Drosophila melanogaster: one gene and its partner. Changing the gene in region 1 together with any one later gene gives a genetic interaction. Each region holds a gene or a part of one and is shown on either strand. Other genes may lie near its edges. The genes, in order: tadr and Galphaq.

The links.
Region 2: of tadr (region 1) and Galphaq, changing one suppresses a phenotype caused by changing the other (phenotypic suppression), as found in Drosophila melanogaster (one study listed by BioGRID).

Annotation. Positions count from the first base shown.
Region 1 is NT_033779.5:21,066,674-21,081,980, forward strand, and holds tadr (torn and diminished rhabdomeres), read left to right. Parts: upstream 1-8,731; 5' UTR 8,732-9,028; coding exon 9,029-9,042; intron 9,043-10,685; coding exon 10,686-10,831; intron 10,832-10,889; coding exon 10,890-11,084; intron 11,085-11,420; coding exon 11,421-11,512; intron 11,513-11,597; coding exon 11,598-11,735; intron 11,736-12,293; coding exon 12,294-12,448; intron 12,449-12,616; coding exon 12,617-13,283; intron 13,284-13,363; coding exon 13,364-13,462; intron 13,463-13,527; coding exon 13,528-14,079; coding exon of another isoform or gene 14,080-14,181; 3' UTR 14,182-14,380; downstream 14,381-15,307. Other genes in the region: CG9265 (uncharacterized protein), read right to left, coding at 2,682-2,891.
Region 2 is NT_033778.4:12,610,788-12,626,164, forward strand, and holds Galphaq (G protein alpha subunit q), read left to right. Parts: upstream 1-1,952; 5' UTR 1,953-2,059; coding exon of another isoform or gene 2,060-2,064; exon of another isoform or gene 2,065-2,092; coding exon of another isoform or gene 2,093-2,097; intron 2,098-2,779; coding exon of another isoform or gene 2,780-2,870; exon of another isoform or gene 2,871-3,558; intron 3,559-4,999; exon of another isoform or gene 5,000-5,042; intron 5,043-5,119; 5' UTR 5,120-5,509; coding exon 5,510-5,627; intron 5,628-5,752; coding exon 5,753-5,937; intron 5,938-5,999; coding exon 6,000-6,154; intron 6,155-6,284; coding exon 6,285-6,413; intron 6,414-6,668; coding exon 6,669-6,797; intron 6,798-7,007; coding exon 7,008-7,137; intron 7,138-7,199; coding exon 7,200-7,353; intron 7,354-7,416; coding exon of another isoform or gene 7,417-7,524; intron 7,525-7,655; coding exon 7,656-7,763; intron 7,764-7,993; coding exon 7,994-8,076; 3' UTR 8,077-8,196; downstream 8,197-15,377. Other genes in the region: Amph (amphiphysin), read left to right, coding at 222-302; CG45086 (uncharacterized protein), read left to right, coding at 2,060-2,064, 2,780-2,870; CG30054 (uncharacterized protein), read left to right, coding at 12,939-13,056, 13,115-13,299, 13,362-13,516, 13,577-13,705, 13,776-13,905, 13,967-14,120, 14,197-14,304, 14,483-14,565.

The DNA of each region.
Region 1 (15,307 bases):
CACGATTATGTACGATGGTCAGCCAGACAGTATCTTTTCTGTTTCTTGTCACGAGTACACATTACACCCGCCCAGTAACCCAATTTTCAGGCTGACACACACACTGGCAGCGTAAATCAGTCGAGTGCACAAGGCCGCATGCGGGTTATGAACCTGCAACCGGCCCGGTCTCTAAGCCAACAATTGCGACTTGCGGCTTGCACGGCTTGCGAAGAGGCGATCTAAGGCAACGGCAACCCATCCAGTAGTAAGATATTGTGTTTAGCTATTTGCCTTTTGGGGGGCCGCAAACACTTTCGGTTTCAATTGCGTTTGCGTTTGCGTTTGCAACGCACACACAAGACCCAACGAATGCCCGCGAAATTGCGGTGGCTGTTGTTGTTACCACCAAATACAATACAATGCGATATGTGTGTGGATGGATGTGTGGGTCTTGCGGCTAGCTAATAAAAACAGGCTCTCCAAGTGGCCAGCACCGCCACCACGGGCCGGCAAAATGCAAAAGTTGAACTAGGTCAACAAGCCAAACGCTGCGGCGCAGTTGACAGCGACTTCGGCAGCGCGCAGTAACTCAGCTGAATTGACTCTCATTACATGCGCCGGCACTCGGAGAAATATGCCCCTATTTGGTCGGAAGACCTTTTTATTCTTATTAACTAAAACTGTCTGGAACTAACATTAAAAATGATACTTCCATTCCAAATATATGAAACATTTAAAATGTTGTTGTGAAGCATTTTGATGATAAAGTTTGGTATCATGTCACAGTTTATCAAACGAATTCCAAAAAAATATACATCACAGAAACTATATTAACAAAATTTAAAGTAAATTTATAACTGTGTAACAGAGCCCACATAAGTTCTCCTCCCATCAAACATTCAACTTGTAGGTGGAACTTCCAGCGCAAGTTTGTTGCCCAAGTCTTTTGTTAAATGCATGCCAGCAATGCATTGACATAAATCGGGCTAATAATAATCCATGGGTATCCACCCAGTAACCGATTGTTAATTCAATCACAACAACCGGCGTGTAATTTGCACATCTGCCAACTATCGTTGACAAGCAAGTCAAGCGGATAGCGTTTAGAATCATCATTTAAGAGTTTACCAAATCCGTGAATTAACATGCAAATTCATTTGACTTTCTGAGTCGCTGGTTTTGCATTCGGCATGCTAATGTCAACAGTTTCGAATCGTCTCTATTTTTATGGCCCTCTCCCAGCAGCTGAGGAATACCGATGGAAGTGGCTATTGTGCCACACATATATCCCGATCATATCTCACTAACCCCTGGCTACAAAAAGGTTTTTTTTTTACCTTTTTTGCGGTAAAGTGAAAATATAATTACCGCAAACCAAGGCTTGCGTAATAAAATTGAAATTGCTTTTATTGTCTTTTATTTTTGGTTATTTAAAAACCACTTAGCGTGTCAGAGTGTTAGTTTGAGCCCGATACGGGTCTGGGCCCAATTTTCAAATTTCCAGCGGTCTTTGGCGCCTATGAACTGATTCATTGACTCTATTGGCCTAATATTTGTGGTTGTAGTTCTCAGAGTTTGTACTCTCACTCAACTGTGTAAATCAATTAGATATGTGACCAATCACGCATTTAAAATTCGGATTATTGTTATTTCAGCTAGGTTTTTAATAATTATAGTTGCTGGCAACGCAAATCCAAGCACATTGAACGCTTCTTTTTGTTTAAGTTCAGTTAATGGGCAATTTCTATTTTTCAAATATCGAATTTGAGTAATAAATATTTTTGATCAACCGTCTAGCTCATGTTCATATTGTCCGAGGCTAGTTTATGGCCTTGATTTAACATGGACATGATAACTCAATTCCTAACTGGTTCCGGCCATCCAATCCCCTTCCCGATGGCATCTCGAATGCCAAATTCGCAAGTCAAAATAAATTATCGTTCACAGTCTGCTTTACATCATCTCGGGCAGTCCCTAAATCACCAGAACCCCTCCCTCGGGTCCACAGATACGATCTGAAAACTCGTCTGCGCTGGATCTTAATGCCTTAAATCTCTTTCACGGTTCCAATTAAACGGCACACGTGCTGCCATCGGCAATGCCCATTACCTTTGGCCATATATCACACACATCACATCCTTTCCGCTGCTAATTAAATAAGTTAATCGCTGGCGCTCGTTGTTTTTGCCAGCCATGCGATCGCCAGACTTTCAATTCTCTGTTATATTCTCCCAAAAACTTTGACACATTTGGCCAAGTGGCGAAGGTAAAAGGCGTTTACTAAATCGCACAATGCTGCTAATCAAGCAAAGGCAACGCGAAGGTAAATTATTCTTCGAGCAGAGGAAGCAAATAAGTCTCAACCGTTTTTTTATTAAACTGTTTTAAACAAAAGTGAGAAGGTCTCGGGCATGCAGCACTTCGAGCGACAATACGGTCTTTCATTTGATCGCTCAAAAATTAGGAACCTTTTGTTTATGGGTATTTTTTATTTGCTGATAATTAAAGCTGAAGCAAATTTTAGATTTGCTTAATTAAATCAAAACGCCTGGAAGGTCAAAGGCAGCTTTTTATTGAATTCTCCGTTTATAGAGCTGTGAATCTTTTTGAATTTTAACTTTGGAGTTACATTCACCTTAATAAAATCGTTTCTTCATTTATATTGACAATATTTGACTAAGTAAACTTTTGAGACTTGCCTGCAGGATGTATCCAATGCAGCAGATTATGAACCAGGCCACGTCCGCAAAGGCATCCCAGGTATTCCACAGGACTTGACGCCAGCCATCGGCAGCGGGAGCGACTGGCTCCGTTTTTTGATGGACCACTCCATTGGCATTGGGGTGGGCGTGTCCGTTGGCCAGGATTTGCGCATCCTCGGCGGACAGCTCGTTGTTGTTTTTCTCCATTTTTGCACAGACTGTCACTGGATTTGCTCGATTCGAATTTGATCTGTTTAGATTTCGGGTAATTAAGTTAATCACACTTCGCTAAGACACAGGTTTTCGTTTTAATTAGCTTTCGATTTATGTAATTTCGCGTAGTTTTTGCCCGTTAATTTAAATGCAGACGAAACACAACGGCGAGCAGCAGACGCGATATATTAATTTGGGTTTGTTTTTTAGTTTGTTTCTTTGCTTATTCCGTATATAGTTTTGGATCTGGGGACTTTGCCTGATTTTGTCGGATTTTTCCGCACTGCACGTCCGCTCTCGTGAGCGTAGCAAACGAATTTGAACGTTGTGGGCTCGAAAGGAATGAATTTCGACTTCTTATTTTGGCGCGCTATTGGATATATAGCCGGCGTCGACGTCGACTGCGCTGCTTACCGCTCGCCGCTCGGCCGAAGTCGCGCTTGTGACGTCATCGAGCTTGAGCCGCAGCTTCGGCTGGGATTATAGTTGTTAATATTTTTCTTATTTTTGTTTTGCTCGCGGCTCGGTTCTTATGCTGCTTTCGGCTGCGCTTCGCTTTAGGCTATTTATTTCCCAGTTTGCTTTGTGTAATTATTTAAAATAATCAAGACTTATGCTTCTACGTATTTTTCATAAATTTATCACGCGGCGCAATAGAGGGTCGGCGTGAACATGGCTAATTAGCGTTATGAAACACGAAAGATAAATTACATCGCTTGGGTGATGCATTTTCGTATTATTTCTTAAAAGTTTAGTTAGAGTGAGTATACCTTCGGGGCCCTTTCATTACGCATATTTGTTATAAGAACTGAGTAAATGTGCATTAGCACCTTAAATCACCTTAACACCTCCCACGTGGCTCATTAATTTAGTAAAATGACCTACGTTTACTAATTGCTAATTTGAATTTATTTGTTTGCATATTGCTTGCAATAAAGGAGCTGTATGCATGTGTGCATATGACTTATTTTGATTCGAAATAGCAAAATGTGAAATTCGGAATTATTGGACGAGAAAGTGGCTTACAAATTTAGACATTATTTTAAATAGGTAATTGTACAAAAAATACACGCATTTTATGTATAAGTAATAATAATTTTGAACTCTTATGTAAGTTTTGCAATAACTCATCATCAAGCCCGACTTTAACTTCTTATACTGCCGTTACTTTCCCCTCAAAACCAACATATGTTATTGTACTTTATTTGTGCCTCGGATGAAAGTCGACTGCCCGTAAATTTGGTTAAATGCACTTATGGCCAACTTATATCCTCTTTCCTTCTTGTCGACATCGCAATGCACCTCGGCTCTCTTTCCTTCTCATTCCTTGTATTCCTTTACCCTTCTTTTGCGCACACATACTCGCACAAAGCCACCAAGTTCGAGAGTTGGTCTCTTGCTTTTTTCTCATTAAAAACTGGTTATGTTAATCGCATGAAATGGTGTATGGCTGGCCGTTCTTAAAGATTTCGTCACATCTTCGGATTGCATAATAGGCAAATTTTTGTTATTTGACTTGATATCGTTTGTTTTGTATACGTGCGTTTTTTAGACTTCGATTTGCATTTTGAGCAAGAAGTCATGCGGGTCAAGAAACTGATAAAAATGTTTAAGGCCACTTGCGGAATTATGTGAGCACTTTTGGGCACAAAAATAAAAAAAAAATTCTTTCACTTTCTATGCTTATATTAAACATACTTAACTCCACTTATTCACCGCTGGGTGTTATTACCTGCAAATACACATGTGCGTACATATATAATATAATATTGTAATTTAACTTTCCGGTCAACCGGCACGCACTTAATCGATTAATTCCCAACAAATGCAAATTTATGTACTGGAACTGCCAGCATTCTTTTTGTGTCCGGCTAATTTTGTTTCGTCCGTATATTTATATTTTTCGACTGCTTTTCGCGACGATTTTTGACACTTGGGACGCAGGCGCAGTGAGAGAAAAAATGCGGATGAAAGGGGCTGGAGGGAATGTTGAAAAGGGCGCGAACTCAGCTGTTCCTTTGGGCTTCTGAGGTTTCAGTGGTTGTTTTCTGAAGAGAGGGATTCAGTCACGACTTGGTAATCAGAGTTGCCAGGTGGCTTCAACAAATACAGTCGTTAGTATTTAAAATGAACAAACCTATAACGAGTATCTACGACGTACTCAGCAAGTGTGAGTGCGAATGGAAAATTTCATAATTTTTCTGGAATATCGATAAATATTGGGGAATAAAACGAGAAAAAATTTAAAAATTGTTCAAAAGTGTGGGCGGAACCGATTAGAGAGTTAGAGTGGGCGTGGCAAACAGTTTTTTTGACAAATCGATAAAAATTTAATGACTTATTAAATTAGGAAAAAATATCCAAAAGTTTTTCAAAAATGTGTTCGTACACATTTGATCCTGATCAAGAATATTAATATTTTATATACCTTTCAACGAATCTAGTACTCGTAGAGTAAGAGTATCGGGTATAATAAGCATTAGGCGTTAACAGGAACTGAGAATGAAATTTGACATTTTTAATCAGTTATATTAGCCATAAAACAGATGTCCAATCATTTCTCCGGTAGCCAAACTCCGCATAAACCCAGTTTAATCAGTGCTATTCAACAACACTACGCCACCAAAATAAAATATTTCCCTTTTCTTAATCGCTTCACCACAATTTATTTCTTGCCAATTTCCGCCATAATTAAACCCAAAACAACAATTTTCCATTTGTTCTGTGCCATCAAAAGCGAGCAGGTCTGCGCGCATGTTTTCAACTTTTTCGAGAATTCAACCTCGTGCCCTGTTGACCGAAAGTGAAATATAAGCTGCACTCTGGCCAAATACGAGTCCGTGTCCAAGCTTAAAACACGCAGATTGTGTTGGCCAAAAGAACCCCGTGATAGAGGCAGACAATCGCAAATGAATCAACAGGTAGCCTTCGCAAAAAACCCGTTAGAACCAGCACAAAGGTGAGTCTTGAAAGCCAAGCGCCAATCTGAACGTTAACCTATTTTACTTCCTATCAGAATTCTGGTTTTAGCATCTGACTTCCGGTTAGTGTTTCGTAATGACCGAAAACGAACGTTTTGTTTTGTGCCATGTGTTATCCGATGACTTGGACATTATGCTGTTCACATTTCCTGTGCCGGCGATGATGGCCCATTTGGCTAGAACAGCCTAAACCTCGCTTATTATTATTAATTATGATTTATCTGACTACAATAAGGAGCTTGATAATTATTGGCCAAAAATCATATAGCGTCATGGTCATCGATTGGCTACCGTAAACAATTTTTTGTGAGTCTTGGGAATCTCATATGTGTGGTGCTAATTGCGCTTCGCCTTCTGAAGTATTTTATATTTCTTGGTTATTTGCAAATTTGAAATGCTTGAGGGGATTCTCGTTAAGAATATCGGGCTTTTTTAGTTCCCGCGAATTGCGTTGCAGAGCTTGTAGAATTTTGTAGATTTGGGGACCCAACAATACCGGTTCTATTGTTTGTGAAACTAATTTTCATCTGATTCGTTAAAGTATATTAAATATATATATATATAGAGTTAATTACAAAAAAAAAAATTACAGTTACAAAATTACATTCGTTTTCAGCTGTAGCTTATACACTATTTGCAAATAGCTAACACTATTTAATTAACAAGCTTATATTATTATTCTCAGCTTATATATTCTTACTAGAATAGTCAAGTGAGTCATAAGAATTAACATATTAAATACTATACGTCAAAAATAACATGCGTTTAAACTGTTTTTCGGAATTTTAATGTCGATTTCACATAAAATTTTAACATATGGGAAAACAAATCTCGATGAGTCTGTTAACCATTGATCTGCCACAGCAAATCATAATTGTTTCGTCCAATAAAGTGCTATTTGTAAACCTGACCAACAACTTCCGACTTCATAGAGCCACATTCCCAAAGAAAAAAGACAAATGAAACCGAAATGACATTGAATTTTGATTATATTGTCTCTGTCTTTGATTTCAATTAACATAAATGCTCTAAAGTCTTATCGTGAACGTCCGTCATGCCTGAAACCTATGTAAGATGTTGTAAGAAAATCGATGGTATGGTATTGATTTAATATAGTAACAAATGTACGAAGTAAGACAGACAGTAAGACCCAATCAAAGTATAGTAGGCGGCTTGAAACACTCATAAATTTCGCCTAAACTTTATTTTTAAACCGGACAAGGTAGCCTTTGCCAAAAATAGAAGAAACTTTATTTTTACTTGAATTAGTAAATAAATCACAAGTAAAAAGGTCAAACATCCGACCAATTATGACCAACGTCGGTTAAAGTTGGTCAGAAGGTCGATCCGTGGAGTCGTTGATTTGACGAGAGCAACCTCTAAAAAACTCCAGAGATACTTTGCTGAAGTGCACACGTTCGAATTAAACGGCTTGGTATAAGTTGAGATAGTTTGCATTTTATTGTTTTGGTTTTTATGACCGCTGTCTGCCGTTTGATTGTCCACAGAAAACCCGTTTCGTTCTAGACAAATTCAGAGATTGCTGCTAAAGCCAGCTCCACTAGTTATGTTTTTCACCGAAAATAGAACACTCTCGATAGGATAGGATTCTACCTTCTACCACAAGGTCTCCAATCGGGCTTGAAGCCGTCTTAACTGTTTATTTTAGCGGCTTCTCGCATTTGTTTGTTTCAAATTTTAGCACAACTTGCGGGAGTCATTTGCACAAGTCAAGGTCGCCTTCTCAGATAAATGCCAGATCTAACAACTTTGAATATAATATTCTTTAGGTTCCATTCGGCTCGTTAAAAAGAAGGTAGGAATTATTATTTAAAGATGGAAAATTTTACTTCGTAACGAAAATATAATAAAAGAATGGTAGCTTAAGATACCTGATTGATTTGTTTTTACATTTTAAAAGTAACCCGTCAATACACATTTGAATGCACTTTAACTAATGAACGCAAGAGCAAAATACTTATAGGTGTAAAAATAATATTTAACGTGCTAAACATTTGAAATGTGGCTTTCATTTGTTAAACGTTGTTGTTTGTCATACCTATGTGATTATGGTGTACTTCCTTAATTTCGTTTTTATTCCTAATCTAAACTAGTAATCTTGATGATATTTATATTACGTGACCTTAAATTCTGTATGTTCGTATTAGGTTTTTGTTGCCGGAATGAAAAAAGTACACATACTTCACCTTAAGATTTAAATTGAGGAGTGTGATTTTTCAAATCACTTGCAGTATTGTTATTCCGAGAATACTTTGTTTTATTAAAACTGTACATTTAAATGTGTTGGATTTATGGGAGAAGTCAAAAAAAATAATTATAAAAAGTCGTCTAGACAGTAGAATTCAAAGAAATATAACCAGATTTTCTAGCTTCGCCGAGTTGCAAAAGATATTCTAATATTAGCTTAGGCGCCATGTTTATCAATACTAAGTAGGTATACGATTTATTAGCTTTAGTTTGAGTGTTCCTTATATATAAATTTCTTATTGAGGAAATCAGTATATTTATAGACGGAGCTGCAGTAAATTCAAAAATAAAGTACATTAGCTATGCAAAACGATTGCACTTGTGCAACTCTTTCGAGTACCAAATGCAGAGACCCTCCGCATTTTCCACCCCACCCAACCCACTTTCCCATTTCCCATTTCCCATTTTCTCACCAAAGAGCAGAAGGCAGGCCAACCAACTGTAAACGTAAACAACGTCCACTGCGCAGGACAGTATTGAATTGAATCCGAATCTTTATCCGATTCCGAATCCGGTGGACAGCTGTGCGTCGGAATCGGGCGAAAGCTGTTTGGGCGGCGGAGGAAAAGCTTCAAGTGAACATTCAGTGGATTGCGGCCAATTTAAGCGAGCGGTTACGCGTTACCTGTGCACTTCCCCCATATTTTACCAGGTTACGTGTCAAGAGCAGAAGTTACCTCTCAAGCGTGTTGGCTAATTAAGGGCTAAAGCTCAAGTGCTGAAGTGTTGGAGTATCTAATATAAATTTTAATAAAAGATCACTACAAAATGGCAGTCATTGTTGGCCAAGTTCTGCCACAAGATGAGCAGCAAATCACATTTTGAACCTGGCCGATTGCTAGCTGAGTGAAAACCACAGTAACCTTTGCTACAACAACGACAATGTCGAGTGGCAGGTAGGATTCTCTAGCCCATATCCATTCATACAATAAATACATTTGGCCTATACTCGACAGCCATTTCGACCATATCTGGCAGTTGTTATGGCTGATATTTGTCATGTAATCAATAAATTGATTTTTGATTGGCATGTGTGTGGGTATTCTTCCTCGTTCTTGGTCTCCTCGTTTTAGTTTTTCTGTTGTCTTCTGACTGGTATTTGCTTTCCTTTCGTTCTTCCTCTGGCGGCGTCGCACTGACTGGCTTTTTCGCTGCGATTTACCTTGGCCCATTCAAGTGCCCGACCACTGTGCGTATACTTGATATATTCAAGCTGTGCATGAATTCTAATTCTATGAAGATACGGAGACAAACAGAGACACAAGGACATAGGAAAAAAATCTTGTTTATTTAGTTATGTATTCAAATATCATTCTTGGGAGCTCAACAAGTTCGATACGAACGGATAATTTTACATATACAAGAAACAACTATAAACAAACCTAAGTGTACCGCAAAGTGTACCTTGACTGTTTTAAAGCATCTCATTCTCTAAGCTGGGTCAAAGATTCGTTCGGAAAATGTGGAAAATTAGATTCACGAAAAAGTGTCCCCCACTATTATTTCACTCCCAGCTTAGCAAGGCCAAAGCTAGAAACCTGATAGCCCGCCAGCAGCTGGCCATGTAATTAGGATAATCGAGCTGCTTAAAATATGCACACAGAGTACACATAATTACAAGCAGCAGAAAATTGGCCTGGGAAAGGGAGGAAAATAGAAGCTTCAATACCAATGGCGTAAGGGGATATCCCCAAAAAACAGGCTATGACTCATGGCATCCGAGAGGAGGCAAAGCCACCAGAGCCTCAGAGCAAACAGGCGCGATCTCCTTTCACCACTCTTTCCCTGTTTGTTCTTGCACTGCAACCACATATAATTGAAAATTGCTTGATGAAATGTTTATTTAAATGTTGACTGGGAAAATATGTTTATTAATTTCCCATTAAAATTAAAATAGATAAAAATGATTTAAAAAAATATATATTTTTCTTACCTTCCTTATGAAAGAATTTTTTGTGCTGTAATCCCTCCCAATGTCAGTTTGGCGCCAAAAACTGTGCTTGTAAGCGTGGTTGTGGTTACTTAAAGTTGTATGGATTTCCGTTCGTGTTTCTGTGGGTGTCTAACCACAGAAGTCATATCCCGTCAAAGGTGACTGAGTCCTTAGTTCCACTCCGTCATGTAGGCAAATGCACCTTCGCAAGTAAAATCAGTCGAAAAAGTTAAGTCAAACCATACTCATTTTTGCCAGTATATTGAAGCCAATGGTATTATTATGGGCTTTGCGAACTTTGATCTAAAAATAATGTTTTGCGCATGATTAATCCCTTCAATTAAAAGTAAGTGTGCAATTAAGTCTTCATAAATGCTCAGATAAAGTTCCGAGTAAAAATGTCATTAAAAGACTTCCAAAACCATTTAGTATTCTGACCGCATATATATTTAATTATACACATCTTTTCGCTACGATTCTTAAGCCAACATAAAAGTATAAGGAAATGAGCAGTCTAATTTGCACAATTTTGTATTCATTACGCCAGTTCCTCGCAGGCAATTTAATTTAACTTGCCCCCGTGCGTCCTTTGAATTATCCTTGCAGCCTGCTGGACGTGCTCTGCAGCGGCAGTGGCGCCCGTTTGGCCCTCGGAGCCTCGGTAATCTCCTATCTGATTGTCTACAACGAGGCTTCCGCTCCCAGCCTGCTGGTTGGCGTTGTCTTGGCCACCGTTTATGGCGCAATGGCAGGTGGGAGTTAGGTGGAATACTTGTAAATATTCCAAAGTAAGTTAATTCTTTGTTCCAGCCCGCTGTAAAACTAGCCTCCGCAGCCTGCAAATGCCGTATGTGCGGGCCACAAATAAATTCGACTTTAGCTGTTTGTTTCTGGCCATCTGGCTAGATGCTCTGGCCACCGTGTGTGCCTGCGCTGCCCTGGCGAGGACCCTCAGTGCCTGCTTGGACGCCATGACCGGAGGTCTGGCCAGGATTCTCATATTGGGTGAGTGGTAACAGATGCTTGTAAATAAAGTAGCACAATACATTGGTTCAAGGAATAACAAAACCATTAGAAATACGAGATACGACCTAATTAGCAAACTATTATACATACATACTTATAAGTAAAGCCACTTCTTCGAAAATAATTAAGTACCATATGGTGCTCTAAGAAACAAACAGAACTGTAATTATTAAATATATATTAATTTCGTTTTTGTCATAAAATAATAAACTTGATGTATATTATCATATCGCATATATTTTGTTATGTATGCGTAATATTTTGGCGTGAACTGTGCTGGCCGACCTGTTCAAATATTATGTTGCCTACTTTCAGGCCGCAATGCACCCGCGAATGAGCCGTGGCCGGATGTTCTTGGCGTGTCGGTTGTCTTCCTCGTCACTGGGATGTTCATGCTGGGCCTGGAGGTGGGTACTCCTCCGAATCCGAAGCCGAGTTTAAATCCAAATCCACCCACTTATCGCGACACTCACTGCATTTGCGTATTCACAGCACTCGAGGGCCTTCAGCCTCATCCTGACTCTTGGCATGTTTGGCTTGAACGCCATTTTAAGCGCCGTCGGCTGGTGGCGGGGCGACATGTTGGCCTGGTCTGCGGATAGCTACTTCCAGCCCGATGGCATTAGCAGTGTAAGTGGCCGTAGACGTTAGACCCCATACCAACTGGAACTTCGATAGTGGGTCAGTGCACTGTGCCAGTCTGAGCTTTGTTTTTTTTTTTTTTGTTTGCCAAGTCCCATCGATTTTCGCTGTCGTGACCGGGAACATTTGCGTGACCGCAGCTGAATCCACAGGATACGGGCTTTTGATTATGACACGTACTGCTGCGTTTCGTTTTTGTTTTTTTTTGGCCTCCTTTCACTGGTATTCGTTCGCGGAAAGCCGCCAGTCAGACAGCAAAAACATGGAAAATTTTTTGGCGCTTAGTTTGCCGGAGTTGGTAATACTTAGAGTATTCGTAATAAAAGAGCTTTGATTTAAATACAGCATAATGTATTACTTTTTAAGTTATTCAGTCCAGTAATTTAAAAATTTGTAGTGCCTTTTATAGACCAAAAAAATCATAGAGAAATCAAAAAATTTCATAGAGAAGTCAATTTATACACTAGCAACCAGCATTGGTGGGGAAAGTCTGCTGCTATTTGCAAAATTATCCGTCTGATAACTAGTTCAAACCACCACACTCAGGTCTTCCTGGGTACTGCCCTGCTCACCTACTCCTTCCCCGGCGATTGGCCCCAACAACTTCGAGGTGGACGATTCACGGCGACTCTAATTACGGGATTGGTCAGTACTTCGCTGCTGCTGACGGCCATTTGTCTGTCGACGGTGGTGCATTATAGGTGAGTCTGACAATGCGATAATAATGGAAAAAGACATATTGTACAACTGTTATCGGCTACTGTACAAATGTTTTGTGAACTTGTACTAGAGATATCCTTAATGATGATGTATATTTAAACCAATAGCGTGGCTTGACATACATACATACATTTTATGTGTTCTTTCAGATCTCAGGAGGACTATGTAGCCGTGCCCTTGTTCAACATTCTGGATGAAAACGGCTTCCATAAGTTGGTTCCTGCCTCGGCTTGCATGTTGCTTTTGACGAGTTCGGCGGCATTTCTGGAGCTCTTTCCGGAACTATATGGTATTGTTGTGCGACTGGCCACCTCGGAGTGGAGAATACTGTCCAAGCAGATCAGTTATGAGAGCTCGGAGAGTGGTAACCCCGTGCTGGCTGTGTTCATCGCCGGCAGCATGTGTGCCATGTTGGCCTTCGCCTGTCCACTACAGCATCTCAGTTACACATTAGCCGCTGGCCACATGGGTGGGGTATTCCTGAGGGCCCTTTACCTCCTATACATCCCTTACAGACCCAAATATATGGCGCCCAGCAGCGAGTCTTCACTGTCGTACAGTCGCCTATCCACAGCACCGTTTGCCAAGAGCAGCAGCTACAGCAGTGCCGCAACTTCCAGTTCGAGTCGCTTAAAGAGAAGTCTCTGGAAGATCGGTCTGCCCAAGCACAGTAACTTAAAAAAGCCGAAGACCAAGCCCAGGAACAAACAAGAGCTGGAAAAGGAGTGGCTGCTCCTGGGTGAACCCACCTCGCCCTGTCCTCAACGAGAGGGCAGGGATGTGGAGTCCACCATTCTTTCCGATGGCGAGCCACCGGTAAGTGATTTCTGTGCTTAATTAAGTTTATTAAGGGTAAATGTCAATTAAAAATATATATTCTGACATTTTGCATGAAGCCATCTGACTTTGAGTACCCAGATAAATTTGACAAAAGTGACTCGGACACCTCCACCGACATTGATGCCATTGTGGATGAGTATCGTGAAAAGATTAAGGTAAGAACTCTCCATGAATACACGTAAATATAGACACTACATGTAATCATCCTCCAACTCTCCAGGTAACCACCGCCGGACCTTTGGAGCGCAGTGTGCGAGTGCCTACGGTGAGTTCCTGGCGCGTGACCATTTTCGCCATTGTGGTGATTGGATTGGGCATTGCCCTATGCATTGCCGGGCTCATGATGCACTGGGCTCCGGCAGCGTTGACCGGAGGGATTGGGGTTCTTATCGTGACCATTATGATGGGTTTTATACCCAAATACACGGGCAGTGTGATCAACGTGAGTCCCGTGATCTGTGGAATGTCGCTGCTGATGGGCGTGATCCTATTCAGTGGCTGTGCTATACATTCCTGGCCGGGATTGCTTATCTGGCTGATGGCTGGACTCATTCTGGTGATCAGATGCGATAAATACTGTTGCAATTGTTTTGAGCACACCACCATAATGAATGCCCAGCTGATACCTAGTGTCTCGGGAAAGAGCAACATGGGGTCAGCGTCGGGATCGGCATCAAATTTAGCGGGTCCCTCCACCAGCATCCGGATACCCAGACCGCCCAAGGGAATGGGCGTAGTCGGCTTGCCACAGCGCATCAACGAGCACAGATGACAGTCGGAGTCCTCGGAGGAGGAAGGCGAAGACCTGTTCCACGAGGACTTCAATGTGCGCGACTTTGACGAGGAGGATGACGAAGATTGCTGGACTGATTAGCTTGCGCCTTTTAAAATCCGTTTAGAAAACTATTTAATTGCTATGCGGATCCCCAGGACGATCCAGCTTCGAGCCACATATGCCTGAAATTTTCTAGCTAGCTAAATTGATTGTCGAAATTTACTTATGTATTTACAAATATATAGCTAGGCGACTCTCTGTACAACTAAGTTCAGAATAAATTAAATTTTTCAAAACGAAAATGTATAATCAATCGTTACATCATTTTACATTGTAAGAGTTTCGTAGCTGCATAGAATGTTATCTGCCATCTAAATATATAAATTCTCATTCTCCATGAGGTAATCCACCAGTTCCCTGATAGGCGTCATAATGGTCTCCTCGTAACCAGGTTGAATCTCGATTACCCTGAGTAATAACTCACTCCGATCGCAGTTGAGGTAATAGTCAAACTTCTCCGGTTCTTCGGATCGTTATCTATTTGAAATACTGGGTGACATTTTTGTCTGAGGTTCGGTGAGAGCCCAAATAACAAGGGCTGCCAATCGAGTTCTTTGGCACTCTTTTCTAAAGTTATTTTCTGTTATGAGATTCTTGTCCAAACCCAGACGATCCAGGTGATGCTGTAGATTCTTATAATAGTGCTCGAGACACTCATCATAAATCGCCCTTCTGACTTCAGCGGAGGCTACAATATAGAGTAGGAATAAAACATCTAAGGTGGGAGAACAATACTGGGTGAGTTGAAAATCTACAATGCAGCAGGCATTAGGTAATACTGAAGATTCCTTGTTGAAATAGTACACAATATTATGATCCCAAGTGTCTCGATGACAGAGTACATTTCTTATAGTCTTTGAGGGGGCGACCAGTTCTTCAGCCTTGGTTAGAAGATTGTAGAGCTTATCTTGAATAAAGTTCTGAGCTTTCATTGTTTGAAAATGCGGATTACGTGCTGCTAAAAAAACGATTGCCTATGGAATTTATAAAGTGTAACAATTCAGTTTTCATATTTCGTAACCGATCTACCAACCTTAAGTCCAGTTATGTACCACGAGTTATTTGAATCCAAATGTAACTCAATGAGCACATTTTTGTAACTTTCGTAAATCTTTACATTTTCTTTTTCTTCCCAAGCGATACTAGCTGCATGTAATTCAGATAG
Region 2 (15,377 bases), on another chromosome or scaffold:
TTTCAATGTTAATGGGATTGTCTGTCCTCATTTCCATAAAATTCCATCAATTTAAGTAAGCTAAACTTGTTAGATTCTATCATTTGCAAGGGTATAACTTCGGAATCCGGAGATACACATTCCTTTGAGCTTTGCACGCGCTAGTTTCCCCCTCCGCGCCAAATGCAGATCTCAGCACTTCCTGTCTATATTGAGTTCAGTTCTTTATTGCCAATTTACAGGAGGAAGGCTGGCTGATGGGTCAGAAGGAGGGCACCAACGAGAAGGGACTCTTCCCCGCCAACTTCACGCGTCCCATCTGAAGCGACAAACTGGGGAACAACTGGGCTAGCAACGAACCATCAGCAACTTCAGATCAACCATAAAAATCTTTACGAACGGAGGTCCAAATCCAAATACAAACTTTTGGCCAAATTTTCTTTGTGAGCGCTGCTTTTGCTTTTGTCCAATTAATAAATTCTTGTTTTGTGAAATGTATTCGGTAACTGGCAATCCATTTATAGCGATTGTTCGTTAGGGCAGTGCTTCCAACCATAAAATTGTTATTGTTAACACAAAGAAGAACGAACACACAGATGAGGAATGAGAGAGAGAATATTTTGAAAATGTTTCAAACATTATTTTTTAGTTCTAAGTTTCAAGAAAACCTAAAGCATAAACCTACGTATACATATATTATTTGTTAATCCTATTATTGTGCTCATAATTAATGCGAACAAAACGTATCTAATTTGTAATTTGTTAATGGCAAACCACAAATGTAAAACATATCACTCGAGAGCTAGAGTAATTGTTAAACAAATCAAAAGTCGGAGGAGATAGCCAGCCTGAACCTTTTGTATTTTGTGAATTTTGCAAATATGTAGTACGAGTTTTTTATAGTCAATTGAATGTATTTTTGGGGCGATGCAAAAAGGCCAGATGTAATTCCTCTGTGGTCCCCGAAGTTTTGGAAATTGTTTCAAGTAACAACATTAACGTTTAGCGATTACGTGTATCTTTAATTTGTACTTTGGTTTTTAATTTTTCGTTTGAGAGACTCGAACTAGCTACAGCTTTATAACGCGAACACAATCCAATAGTCACTAACCGATCGATTCGATGTTTTTATTTTATTTAACTCGATTGTAAATCACACGAAACCCGAAATAATTGTTTAAATTGTGCACACACTGTAAAGTTATTATTTTAATTTTATTTAATTAATTTAAACACTTATTTATCGCATGAACATATTGAACAAATGATAATAATTTACAGAAAGCCAATAAAACATAGATTAAATAATACAAGTCTTTTGATTTGGCGGGCAATGTCTTCTGATTTCGAAGATAGAAAGTGCTTGTAAATTTGACGATTGACCGGCGTTTTACGATATTCGCATTTTTTATGTTCTAAATGGTAATTATACACACATATATTTAGTTATTTAAAATTTACGATCATAGTCATTGGTTCGGGTCACAGCTTAACGAATATGGAAGTGCATGGTAAGTGTATTCCCTGTTGTTAGAGAGTGAAAAGGACACAACATTTTCAGTCTTTCCTAAAGCTATCAGGCATTGCCATCCTGAATTATGAGAATATGGCGCACTGCCATCCTTATTTTTAAGGATGTCTGGCGTTGCCATCCTTATTTGAAGGATGTAAGGCGTTGCCAACCTTATTGCTAAGAATGTGTATTGACACACATGAATAGAAATCCGTATGGCAACACCGACATGTGTTGTGGTGGGGGTGGCAACTAAAAAATACCAAAAGTAATATATTTTCAAATTAAGCTGAACTGCCAGGAAATCCGTTTTTATTTGTTATAAACCACTTCTATTAGTTATTATGCGGCAAATAAAACTCCTTCCTTATGTAATACAATGAAGACTTTGATTTAAGAGCATCTATTCCATCATCGATATCTTGCCACCACTAGTTCAAATGCCGTCCGATTGGTTTGACCATCGATATCGACGAACGATAGGGCCGATAGGTTCGGACAAATAACGCCTCCTGCTATCGAAAGTCGGGTCGTGCGTCAACGTTAGCGAAAAATGCAAAATTAAATATGTTGTGAGTAGCGAGCGATGCCAAATCGAATATGTTGTGAGTTTCGAGCAAGATCCCCGTCAAACGGACTCCCCGCCAGCCAGCGGTCGCCATCCGCAGCCGCCTGGCAGCCACCCGAAAAAGTCCCCCCCTCGACAAAAAAAAAATTTAGCAGCACCGAAAACGTTCCCCGAAATGCCAGTGTAAAGTGTATTTTTTCGCCAAACAGTGCTGGCCATTAAGCAAGGCCCCCCCATAATTGTTAAACAAACGGCGAATCGAATCGCGAAATCTTCGAATCGCATTGCTATCAAAATTTTTTCGTTTCGTTAACGCCCTCGCTTATATTTGTGTGTATTCGTTCGTAAAGCAGTGCGCAGCAAGTCGCACTGCTTGCCCGAGAAAAACACTGCGAATAGGAAAAAAGTTGAGAAATTTAAAAAAGAAATAGTTTGTTTAACTCAATGTGGTTTTCTTTTGCCACTAAACGGTGCATGCCAGCGAGAAGTTAGTTGGGGTCGCGTAACTACATAGTGGATTGTGCATATTTTTGGGCTTAAAACGGGTGGGCTAACCAAAAAATGAAAAAAAAAATGGTAGCTGAGGGTCGTGTGTGTTTACCTTAGCCAGTATGATGATGATTTTCCGGAATGCATATTCCCACCTTACCACCCATAATACCACCCCCCCCCCCCATCGTTCTTCTCCTTATCTCTCTGTCTCTCTTCTTTACTTGCAGTTCCACTGCATACAGAAAAATAAACAAATACAAGAAGCATAAAATATGCAGAAAATTAAATACAAAAGGAGCCACTAAGTGTTTCGTGTGAAATCAATTTGAAGACCGCTCGTCGTCGTCGTTGTCGTCGTACATACTTTTCCGTTTCAATTACACTACAATGAATATTTGTTGAAACTTCGTTGCATTTACAGACTGGTGTTTAAAAACAACAACAACAAGAAGAAACGTTAAAAACCAAGAACAACAACAACAACAGCACTCATACACACCGAAAACTAGAAGCAAAAAGGGAAAATTATATATAGATATATATCTACATATATAAATAGTATCGTATCACACATTTACATTAAAAGGAAGCCGAACAGACGTTATCGTAACTTTTATATTAAAAAGCACCAGTAAAAAATATATAACCAACTACACACGTTCCTTAAAAACAAATGTTTTCCAAACCGCAAACCAACTAAAAACGAAATGCTTTTGAAATTAGTTTAAGCTAACTAAAAAACGTAAGACCAACCAACGCACCGCAAAGCAAATCGCGTGATTAAACTAAAAATATTTAAAACAGACCGAACATCGGCAGGGAACCAAAAACAAAAATTAAAAGAACACGATCAATCCGGAAGAACTTCAATCGGCGTACTAAAACCCGAAATTCAATATTTTTTGTATAACATAGTGGTAGCTAAAACAAATCGAGACGATAACCGGAACATCTTTTTGGAGAATCTCGTCTGAATACCTTTAGTCCCGTGTCTCCGTAATGTTAAGTAAGTAATACTGAATGCTCATTGAATACAAGAATCGTAATTTCGTGGTTAATTTTTGACTCCGACCACTTGTTGGTTGCCACTAAAAACTGGCCGAAATATATTATAATCCAAAAATCGAATTATTCTCCAGGCGAGTTTAATGGATTGTCATCCATCTTATTCAAATCCATTCGAATATATTTATTTTGTGTAAAAGCCATGCTTTCATCATAATGAAAGGGTACTTTTGTATCTAAAATATGAGCTCATAAATTCTCCAGCAAAAATAGGCTGAGGATGCGATAAGGAACTGCATGAGTAACGTGAAGCTATTTCCGGCTTAGAAATGGTTTTTCGGAAATGGGTTGCATTAGAACAGTGATTTTCAGAAGAGCAGTAGTCGTCTAAAGATTAAGAAGTCAAATCAAACGTTATCTCAGAGTGGTTTATCATCAGCATATACAATATGTAAGGCAGATAAGACCAGTTCGCGGTAGGTAAATCTCCCTCTGATTTGGTGGCATGATATATCTGGCAAACTATTGTTAAAAAACGCTTCATTGCGCCAATTGCGTGCCCCTGCCCCTGAATTTTGCTGCCACTGCTAATTCGATTTTGTGGCTTTGCTCAGCGAGCAATGTGTTCCGAGTGCAGCCCACTAATCCTCCCGAATACTATGCGTCTAGCCATCATTATCCAGATCTCCATATTCGCCCACCTGAGCCCGCCAAATTCTCCTGGTCAGACTTTTGTCAAAATTATTGCTAGGTATTCCATCGATATTTGGTAGTGGTCATGCTGAAAGCCTTACCTCGACCCATGTCAATGTGTTCGCCAAACGAAATTGGATTAGCCATCACTCGATATATAAACTAGGGGTTGGAAAAGAGAGGAAATAGCACCAGTGGTTATAGGCTATATTCTATAGGCATGCCCTATGCTGAACCCATGAATGAACCGCGGATTCGGGTGGACTCATATCTTTTAACGATAAAAGTACATTAAGAGTTTTAAAGTTTATGCAATGATATTCCAGTTTTGTGTATAGAGCTGTGTTTTTGCATCATAAGTTTCGGTATGTGACTTTTTTATTTCCGAATTAGAATGATATGCCAATTCTTCTTATCCATAGACTGCTTGGTCCACCCAATAGGAGAACACTCTCGCTAACTTGTGGCCAGCGAAGCCATATATTTTCCAAAATCAGCTTTCTTGCATTGAACTTGGCTGAGGGGCATTGTGGGGAACGCTTCCTCAATCTATTGCCACCTGGTAGAGGGCGATCCCAGGTCTGCGCAGAGAGAGCAGGCCCAGAACTTAGAACCAAAGCCAATGCCATGGTCAGAGGAAGTCCCGGGGTAGTCATGGGTAGCCATGGGCAATCTATATCCGACGTCGTCATCGACGTCGCCAGCTAGTGGGGCAGGCTAGCAAATATGAAATGTTAATTGTCAGCACGGGACACAACGCGGCGAACTCTCGTTGGGCCAACAACTGTGGTGGTCCGTAGCAGCAATAGTTGGATAGATCCTACAGTTCGGTTATGCAAGCACTAAATCAAAGCTTTGTCTCCTTGCAGATGTTCTTGGATCGTTCGATGTGGTCTTTGTTCATTAGTAACCATCACTCTCAGCCTCCGAGTCACCGAAATCTGGTCAAGAACTTAGCGTAGACCCGTAATTAGCAATAGCAATAGCCAAAGAGAGCCTGGATCGTAAGCGCTGGAGGAGGTCTGCAGAGCGAGCAAAGCCGAAGTACAAATGCACCAATCGAAACTACAACAGAATCTATAACTTGGAACGGGTGAATTCAACGCCCGCCATACAACCAATTAGCTAGGTGTCCGAGGGTCCAGAGAAGGGAGTCCAGGAGACCATCCCACCATCCAAACAGCATACATTTTATATACGGAACGGTCTGTCGAGCGTAGTGGCAGCAGCACGCGAAAGCGTCTATAAATCTAGTTAGCATGGAGTGCTGTTTATCGGAGGAGGCCAAGGAACAAAAGCGCATCAATCAGGAAATCGAGAAGCAGTTGCGCCGGGACAAGAGAGATGCGCGCCGCGAGCTTAAACTGCTACTACTGGGTAAGTGGAGCATGGCCCATTTCGATTGCACTTAGCCTGGCTTAATGCAATTGAAGCCGCCTCGCTAATTGCATTGTTTGCCCGCCGCTTATGGCTATATATATTTTCCAATCCTATATCCCCAGGCACTGGCGAGTCCGGGAAGTCCACATTCATCAAACAGATGCGTATTATCCACGGCAGCGGTTACTCGGACGAGGACAAGCGTGGGTACATCAAGCTGGTTTTTCAGAACATATTCATGGCCATGCAGTCAATGATCAAGGCCATGGATATGCTGAAGATTTCCTACGGCCAGGGAGAGCATAGTGTAAGTGAAACATTGATCTAATTGAAGTCACTGAATCTTAAACAACATCTTACGATCCACAGGAACTGGCCGATCTGGTGATGAGCATCGATTATGAGACCGTTACCACGTTCGAGGATCCATACTTGAATGCCATCAAAACGCTTTGGGACGATGCTGGCATCCAGGAGTGCTATGATCGTCGTAGGGAATATCAGCTGACTGATTCAGCCAAATAGTAAGTTAACCGTTGGCATGCAAAGGGAACGGTTTAAATCCGTCCGCAAAATGACCGAAAAACGAACTGAAGAGACTGAAACTACCGAAACGACTATGCAAACTAAATCAATTATCTTGTCTATGTATAGTTATCTGAAGGATCTCGATCGTGTGGCTCAACCTGCATATTTACCCACTGAGCAAGACATTTTAAGAGTTCGTGTGCCCACAACAGGGATAATTGAGTATCCCTTTGATTTAGAAGAAATCAGATTTAGGTACATACCATCTTTCTACCCTTACTTCGTTGCATGTGCATGACCTCTTGTTTGGTTATGGTTAAAATTTATTTTGTACTTTGTAACTACACACTTAAGAATTTCTTTAGCGCATGTCTCTTCAAGCAAACAATTCAGGGACTTAGTTAGGGCCTTCAGCGAAATTGATGGACTGAGACGGGTTGCAAAACTATTTTTGCCACTGCTTTTGGTTCCGTTCATTGTTTTAAAAGTGTATTAATTTATCTAATTTAGCTACTTGAGCGATCTAGCTCGAATTGAACAGGCTGATTACTTGCCAACCGAGCAGGATATTCTGCGTGCTCGAGTGCCGACAACTGGCATTCTTGAGTATCCATTCGATTTGGATGGCATTGTGTTTAGGTATCTATTAAAAATATCAATTGGTAATTACCGGCAAGGCTAGTAATGTAAATGGTCATTGTAAAGCTAGTGAAGACGATTTCTTACAATTTAGTTACTAATAGATTCGTTGCTTGCGCTCTAGAATTAAATGCTTGTATGTTTGGCCTTATATGTAGTTAATTTGTTGGTTAACTTTTCTTACAATAATATATTTTTCTTAATAAACAGAATGGTAGACGTCGGTGGTCAGCGATCCGAGAGAAGAAAGTGGATTCATTGCTTTGAGAATGTGACATCAATTATATTTTTGGTAGCGCTATCGGAGTACGATCAAATCTTGTTTGAATCTGATAATGAGGTATGATTTCAAGTTATGAATATATTTTTTTTAAACAAATAATCACCTGTACGCTTTCACAGAATCGAATGGAGGAATCTAAAGCTTTATTTCGTACTATAATTACATACCCTTGGTTTCAAAATTCGTCAGTTATTCTTTTCCTGAATAAGAAGGACTTGTTGGAAGAGAAAATAATGTATTCGCATTTGGTAGACTATTTTCCTGAATACGATGGTAAGTGTTCCGCATGATAAAGGTGGCCATAATTATGTACGATTTTATGCGGCAATGAACCAGGTCCAAAACAGGATCACGCTGCGGCCAAACAGTTCGTTCTGAAAAAGTACTTGGCCTGCAATCCAGATCCCGAACGTCAATGCTATTCGCATTTCACAACGGCCACAGGTGGATTTTCACCTTATGTACTTAAGATCTATGTAATTGCCTTAAATCGCCAATATCATCCGTAGATTATTTGCTAGTTTTCGTAGAACCACGCTAGACGTAACTTCATATTCGCCTTCTTATCGAAACAGGTCCTCAGCGAGATGCAATAACGGCCCGAGAGTTTATACTGCGAATGTTTGTAGATTTAAATCCAGATTCCGAAAAAATTATCTATTCTCATTTCACGTGTGCTACAGGTAAGTTTGCTGCCAGTTCTGTGTTTGGTCAGAAATTGTGTGTGGATGTGATTTTAGTTTTCAGCCTAAAAAGGACTGGTCAAAAGGTAAACTTTTGTGTGAAAAACATTTACATTTGCATATTTGCTTTTGCCGCTGATCTAGAGTAGAGAGTAGTTGTGTATCGCTAGTCAAATTTGCAAACCTAAACGAATTGATTTCTAATAAAACAACGATCTCTTGGTAAACAGATACCGAAAACATCAAACTTGTGTTCTGCGCTGTCAAAGATACAATTATGCAAAATGCACTTAAGGAATTCAATTTGGGCTAAGGCGGGCAGTGCGGATATCAGGAAAAGTGGCAATGCAAATGAATTATTTATTTATAATGTATATGATTTGTTTTTCAAAGTCCCTCAATAAAAACTAAATATAGTCTGTGAAATATCGTGAATGGAAAATGTGTGCAGTTTACTATCATAGGATTATTTGACAAAATCAAACTAACTACGCCTTCTTTTCTTTTGTCTAGATACGGAAAATATAAGGTTTGTGTTTGCAGCTGTTAAGGACACAATTCTGCAATCGAACCTTAAGGAATATAATTTGGTCTAAACTGGATTTGGATCGAAAAACTATTTTTGTGATTTTTATACAAACACACATACACATTCATATAATTCCTTTTTCGCATATTTACTAAATATAAAAGAAGAATTGAGAAGCGAGCGAATGTGGCCGAAAATTAGGCATAAATTAGACCCGAGAAAGTTTCTTACGTTTGTTACATCAGGAACCGAAAATTGTAGCATAAATAGAATACTAAACTGAGATGCTAAAACCGCATCAGCAGAATGATGAAAAAGATGTATACATTTTAATTTGAGAGAAAAATAACACAAAATCTGATACAGTGTGACAACAAATAATCAGGGCAGAGTTTCTCTTACGAATGTGACGATTCGTAAAACATTTATTTATATTGCAGTACTTCTATTCTTTCTAGCGGCAAAGTTTTCAGAAAACGTTGTGTGAATTTTTTTTTTTTGTTTCGACTAGGAAAACTCTTGAAAGTCAAAAAGACAGTGGCCAGAAATGATTGGTACCCAATCGATAGAGTTTTTGGTTAGATTTGAATAAATCTGATGGTAGTTTTTCCTTCCTACACAAGAAACATGATTTCCTTGAAAAGTTTTTATACAAAATATCGTCCGAATTAGTTGTTGTCACTCTGTAATATTTAAATAAATTTATTACTATAGTAACTTTTGTAATAAAATCCGAAACACAAAATATGAAACGTAAATTTAATCAAAAGCTTGATAAGGAACAACAAACTGAAACAACTTTGTCGTACTGAAGCATAACATAATAAAGCAACATTTTACTAAATAACTACAGAAAAACAAAAACATACTTTTGCGTAAAAATCCCCCGAAATATATATATATTCAAAGAATTATATATGCAAGAAGTTTCTTATTAGAATTTCAGGGCATATAGGCGTGTAAAAATAATAAACCGAAAATGATAAGCTGATAAAATGATAAAATGAATGAAAACGAAATCACAGATAATACTGTATTTTTTATTAAGCTAAACAGTAAACCGTAAATATTGATACTATTGTTTACCGAAATATTTAACTATACATGAAAGCAGATATAATAATTCATAAACGCATATGTAACAATTTAAAAATTGATTAATTTGCATTGCGCGAGCTCCATTCATTGTAAATTACGATTCGTATTAATACCATGAGAATGAAAAGAAAAGAAATGAAACGCATGCAAACCAATACAAAAACGATATAGGAGCTAGATTTGTATGAGAAAAGCCAGAAACATTTACATGGAGCATTCATTAAATACGTGTTTGTAAAAAATGTCGATAACCACCCATGCAACATGCAACATGCAACAGCAGAATCCATACAACTTATTGATATTTAATCAGACATCAGGTTAAATCCAATCAAATGCGATATACCACTGGTCGAGAAACACAACTATCAGAAGGGAAAGTTTTGCTCTCACGTACTTTTGTTGCCATCAAAATTTCAGTCGAAACATTGTTATCAAAAATAGCTTGATTTTCGTACTTTTTACATTAACTTTGTTAGTTGTTTGCTTATTTTATAGATCTTAATGTATGCAACAAGGGACTCGCTTTGGCGGCTAGCCAAAACGGCGATGTCTGGCCAAGTGGGTTCAGTGTTTTGTTTTTGTTTTTATAATTTTAGTTTAATTTAATATACAAGGATAACTAAATGAGACGCACATAAATAGAAAACCCCATCAACAAATTATTTATGTAAAAATCCAAATAAAAACAATTCTACTCTACGCATATGTGGAAACAAAAAATAAATAAAATGGAAAACAATTGAAACGTACATGTATGTAAAATAAATATGATGCAAAATGTTTTTCATAATTTATAGTACACTTATTTTGTTCAACCGAGCGAGATTCCCTCAACCCACATCCCCATCATTTGGCGTTTAGTTCCCTCGGGGCCACAGAGGAGTAGACACTTTGCCACGACTCCAAGCGGAAGACACTACTCATGGGAGTGGAGAATTGAGATATTCCTATGACCGCGAATAACCAAAAACCAAGACGCATCTTAGTTTAAGTACGATTCAACAGTGTGTTGTATAAAGCTTTAATCCTCGTAACCACATATAGTGAAAGTAAAAGTAAAGTAAAAATTAAACCATTTTTATGATTAACCAATGGATTAGCTTTTAAAAAGCTTCAATAAGTCAATGTGTATTTTAAAAGATGTAGCCGAGAACACAATGAGAAAAAAAAGCCAATGAGTTTTGAGGGCCCGTTCGGTATGGATATGGAATCGGTTTAGGTTCTTGCGAATATGCGAATACAAAAATTCACAGCTGGCATCCAATTTGGTAGCTCCGATTTTGGCCTGGCCCATTTTTTATATCCACGGCATTATAGACATTCACACACTGACATACATATATATAGTTTTCCGTCCAATGAATTGCATCAGCATCAGCGAGCAGACAAAGTCTCCCATTTATTTTGATCCTTAACATTTGCGATTTGTTTCTTCCGAAAATTCCATCCTTTAAAACAAGAGTTTTTCGGCGGTTTCAATGATAAAATGTTCCGACTTTGCAGCCACACATACGCACACTTTAAATTGATCGATTTCGATATGATTTCCCTAACATTTTGTGCCTTTCCAGCATAATGAATCCCCATATTTTATATATAGGACAGACTCCAAATGGGTACTCCAAACTTGATTTATTTTTTTTTTTTGTACCACTAATGGAGCCTGTTAAAAGCCCCGAGACATTCAGATTATCAGCATGTGTGTATGGCCAGATTGTTGTGCTTTGGGTTGATAGATTGGTTCCTTAATTTTATGATACGCACCGATAGTCAGACAGTTGTATGTAAATATTTGGCAAATTACTCGCGAGGGCATTCAAAAGGCCTCCCGAGAGATATACCACATAATCGAGCATGTGTATGTAAGTGTACATTAAACGCAAAATGAACTATAATAAAATGAGAATTTGATATAAACCATTAATGTATGTATTTTGTATTTTTATATACAATTTATAATTTTGATTACACTTACAATTGTTACGATTAATAACTAAAATTACATGATAAAACCAAAGTAACGCAGATGAATCTACTAGATATGTATTTCCAATATAGAGAAGCCGAGTACATAATACACAAATCCGACGATTGCTAAAGGAATTTCAGAATATTGTAAGGAATTAAGATTTAAAAAAAAAGAAATTTTCTAAGCAACAAACTCAAACAGAACTGCAAGCAAAAGGGACAACAATTTAAATGGGAAATTTATGTAATTGTGTAAATCTAGAGCGGAATGAAAGCGAAGGATGCAATTTGATCCTTCGGGCCGGATACTCGATAAGTATGGCCACGATTTTCAGATACTTGAAAACCATTTAGGCATGGCATTCGGTGGCTAGTTTTTACTTTAACTATGTATGTAAATGAAAGAATGACCACATTCCACATAAGAAAGCTTGAAAAGCAAAAAAAAATGAAAAAAAAAAATTCTTAAAAAAGAATCCCGAATGAAAATCGCCCTTGACGTTGAGGAAAACTACATTATCGATAATAGGAATGGCTAGACGAAGTTTTCGGTTTTGAAATAAAACCCTCTATAAACTCAGCATCGGGATAAGCAGTAAGAAATGTTAGTTGTGAGTTCGGGCGTCATTAGGGAGAAATAGTAATATTCGACTCTAGTTTCTCCATTGCACACCTAAGCATATACATACATACGTGTAAATCGGAAGCTAATGAAACATCCACTGAAACTGCATGCTTAGCCTAGGATTAAGGCAATCCCACACAGACCGATTGCCCCGATTTGGAGACAGAGACAGTCCAACATGTCCATGGGCCGACTATTGATAACTGTAGCATTTGAATTGAATTGATTGAATTGATATTGGACGTACGGGGTTTTCCTGGGTGTCTATACATTTGTCATACAAATCATATTGACGGAGCAAACGGCGATTGTATGCGTGGCAATTGTAACTAAACAAATTTTTTAGATAATTAAAAGTATCTATGTACACCTTAATATTAATGAAAAAACCAATATAATATAAATAAAAGTATATTGAAAAGACCTCATAAGTGTTTTGATATTGCGACTACGATATGCTATTCTCTACCTCTTGGAAAACGCATTTCGAATATATCAGAGTTCGATACATAATCAATATTTTAGTTTTAGAATTTTGTAACTGACTAAACAGTAGAGCTGTGTGGTGGATTGAATTATATAATGGATATGCGCTCACTGGGAATTGGGAGTTCTAGAAATCCTCAGGGATGTTTTTAACGATATTTCTCTGGGTGTTTTGATGTGTTTTATCACGAGGTCATTAAACATTTTTAGGGCACGGGAATTCAATTTTTTAATTTTGGAAATCCAAATCAGTTTTCGGCCATTCTCGATGGCTTACGGACGTGTTTTTGAGCGTTGCATAGAAGAAAAAGTGTGGTTTTAAGGACACTAAAAAGAAAAGTAAACGATACGAAAAACCACATCTTAGCCAATGAATAACTACGGAAACTTATCAGAAGAGCACAAAAAAAGATACATTCTCATTTAGATACTGATCAAAAATTAATTTAAAGATTTAAAGATGAATATGCACTGCTGTTCATCGACCGAGGCAATGGAAAAAAGGCGTATCAATGAGGAAATTGACAAACAGTTGCGCCTTGAGAAAAAAAGATCTAAACGGGAACTCAAACTACTGCTATTGGGTACGTGGAGTGGGATGTATTGGGATGTATCAAGGATACAATGTGCGTATATCCACAGGCGCATGCGAGTCCGGGAAGTCCACATTCATCAAACAGATGCGTATTATCCACGGCAGCGGTTACTCGGACGAGGACAAGCGTGGATACATCAAGCTGGTTTTTCAGAACATATTCATGGCCATGCAGTCAATGATCAAGGCCATGGATATGCTGAAGATTTCCTACGGTCAGGGAGAGCATAGTGTAAGTGAAACATTGATCTAATTGAAGTCACTGAATCTTAAACAACATCTTACGATCCACAGGAACTGGCCGATCTGGTGATGAGCATCGATTACGAGACCGTTACCACGTTCGAGGATCCATACTTGAATGCCATCAAAACGCTTTGGCACGATGCTGGCATCCAGGAGTGCTATGATCGTCGTAGGGAATATCAGCTGACTGATTCCACTGAATAGTGAGTTGGGACACCAGGAGCGATACCCAAAATTGCTTTTTTCTCATTTTCTTATTTCAGTTTTTTGGGTGACATAGGTCGAATTGAACAGGCTGATTACTTGCCAACTAATCAGGACATTCTGCGTGCTCGAGAGCCTACATTTAATATTACCGTTTATCCTTTTGAGTTGGATGGCTATGTACTTAGGTATATATTAAATTTTTAGGGGCAGTTTTATTAATTTTATTGTATTAACAAATTTCTCGTTTATAAACAGCATGGTGGATGTAGCAGGACAGCGAACTGAGAGAAGAAAATGGATTCACTTTTTTTCGAATGTAACATCGATTATATTTTTGGCAGCACTGTCGGAATATGATCAGTTCATGATGGAATCCGAAAACGATGTATAACTTGAAGGCATTTTATTAATTATTCGCCAACAATAATAAAATCCGATTATTGCAGAATCGACTGGAGGAATCAAAGGCTCTATTTCATACTATCATAACCTTTGAATGGTTTAAAAATGCTTCAATCATTCTGTTTCTTAACAAGATGGACGTGTTAGAGGAGAAAATAATGTATTCGCATTTGGTAGACTATTTTCCAGAATACGATGGTAGGCGTTAAAAGTTATATGGATTTACACACAAATTTTGATCAATATATTTAATACTTAATTCTTTACAAAACAGGTCCAAAACAAGATGCATATGCGGCCAGGGAATACGTGCTACGTATGTTTCAAAGCATTAGTTTAGATACATATAAAAAGATATATTCTCATTTTACGTGTGCTACAGGTAAGTGTATTGTCTTGATTTATTTGGCTTAAAATGCATTTGTTCTGTTCTTATATTGGGAGATTATGTATTTTGCTCGTTTGAAAAAACAATGTAAATGCAGTAACGTACAGCCTAACAAAAAGCTAAATAATACGTTACAAATCCCATCTAATTAAGTTATTTATTTCATTTTTAGATACGGAGAACATTAAGTTTGTGTTCGCTGCAGTTAAGGATACAATTTTGCAATGCAACCTAAAAGAAAGTAATCTGTTTTAATATGGGTGTGGATCCCCAACTTTTATGTGGTCTCCCCATGTAGATAATAAAAATAAATTTTGCTCTTACTTTGTTATAAGCACACATATTCAATGTTTATACATTCTCTTTACCTCTATCGATTAAGAAATTATTTGCATGTCTTATAAATTTAGTTTTTAATATGGTTTTAGGCGTTTACAGTTTGGTATTCGTGGATTAATAAAAACCAGTTCATCTTATAAGAGCCGCGCATTGTTGGGCTCTTAGAAATAATTATTTGTGTTTTTATTGCCATTACAAATTAACTTAATCTACATTAAAAGAGTGAACTAAGTGTAAGGTAATGGGAAGAGATAAACAAATTCTCTTAAAAATCGCTCTTAGTGACTTGAGTAGGGCGAATTAAGTAAGCTCAGTTCTCAACAATTTTATCGTGCGGGTGAAAATGTAAATTCGCCCAGCGCCGCCCAATTAGTCTTAGAAAAACTCTCAAGACAGAATATACAAATTTTGCAAAAATTCTGTTTAGTCCACGTTTCGGAAGTTTAAAATTTTATATATAACCTACAGAACAGGAATAAAAAATAAAAAAATTAAGTAAACCCGTAAAATTGGTGAAACAAATTTAAAATCTACAAAAAAGTTAGAAATTAATAATAGTGCTTTCATGTGACTAAATTTCAATAAATCGTTTCATCACTTCAAAAGCGAACCTAAAAAGCACGAAAAAAAACGACCAAAAAACGATGAAATAAATGTAAAATTGTATCTAAAAAATAAAAAGAAAATATTTTGTAAGCACGTGAGTCAGTTATAAAATAACGTGTTAT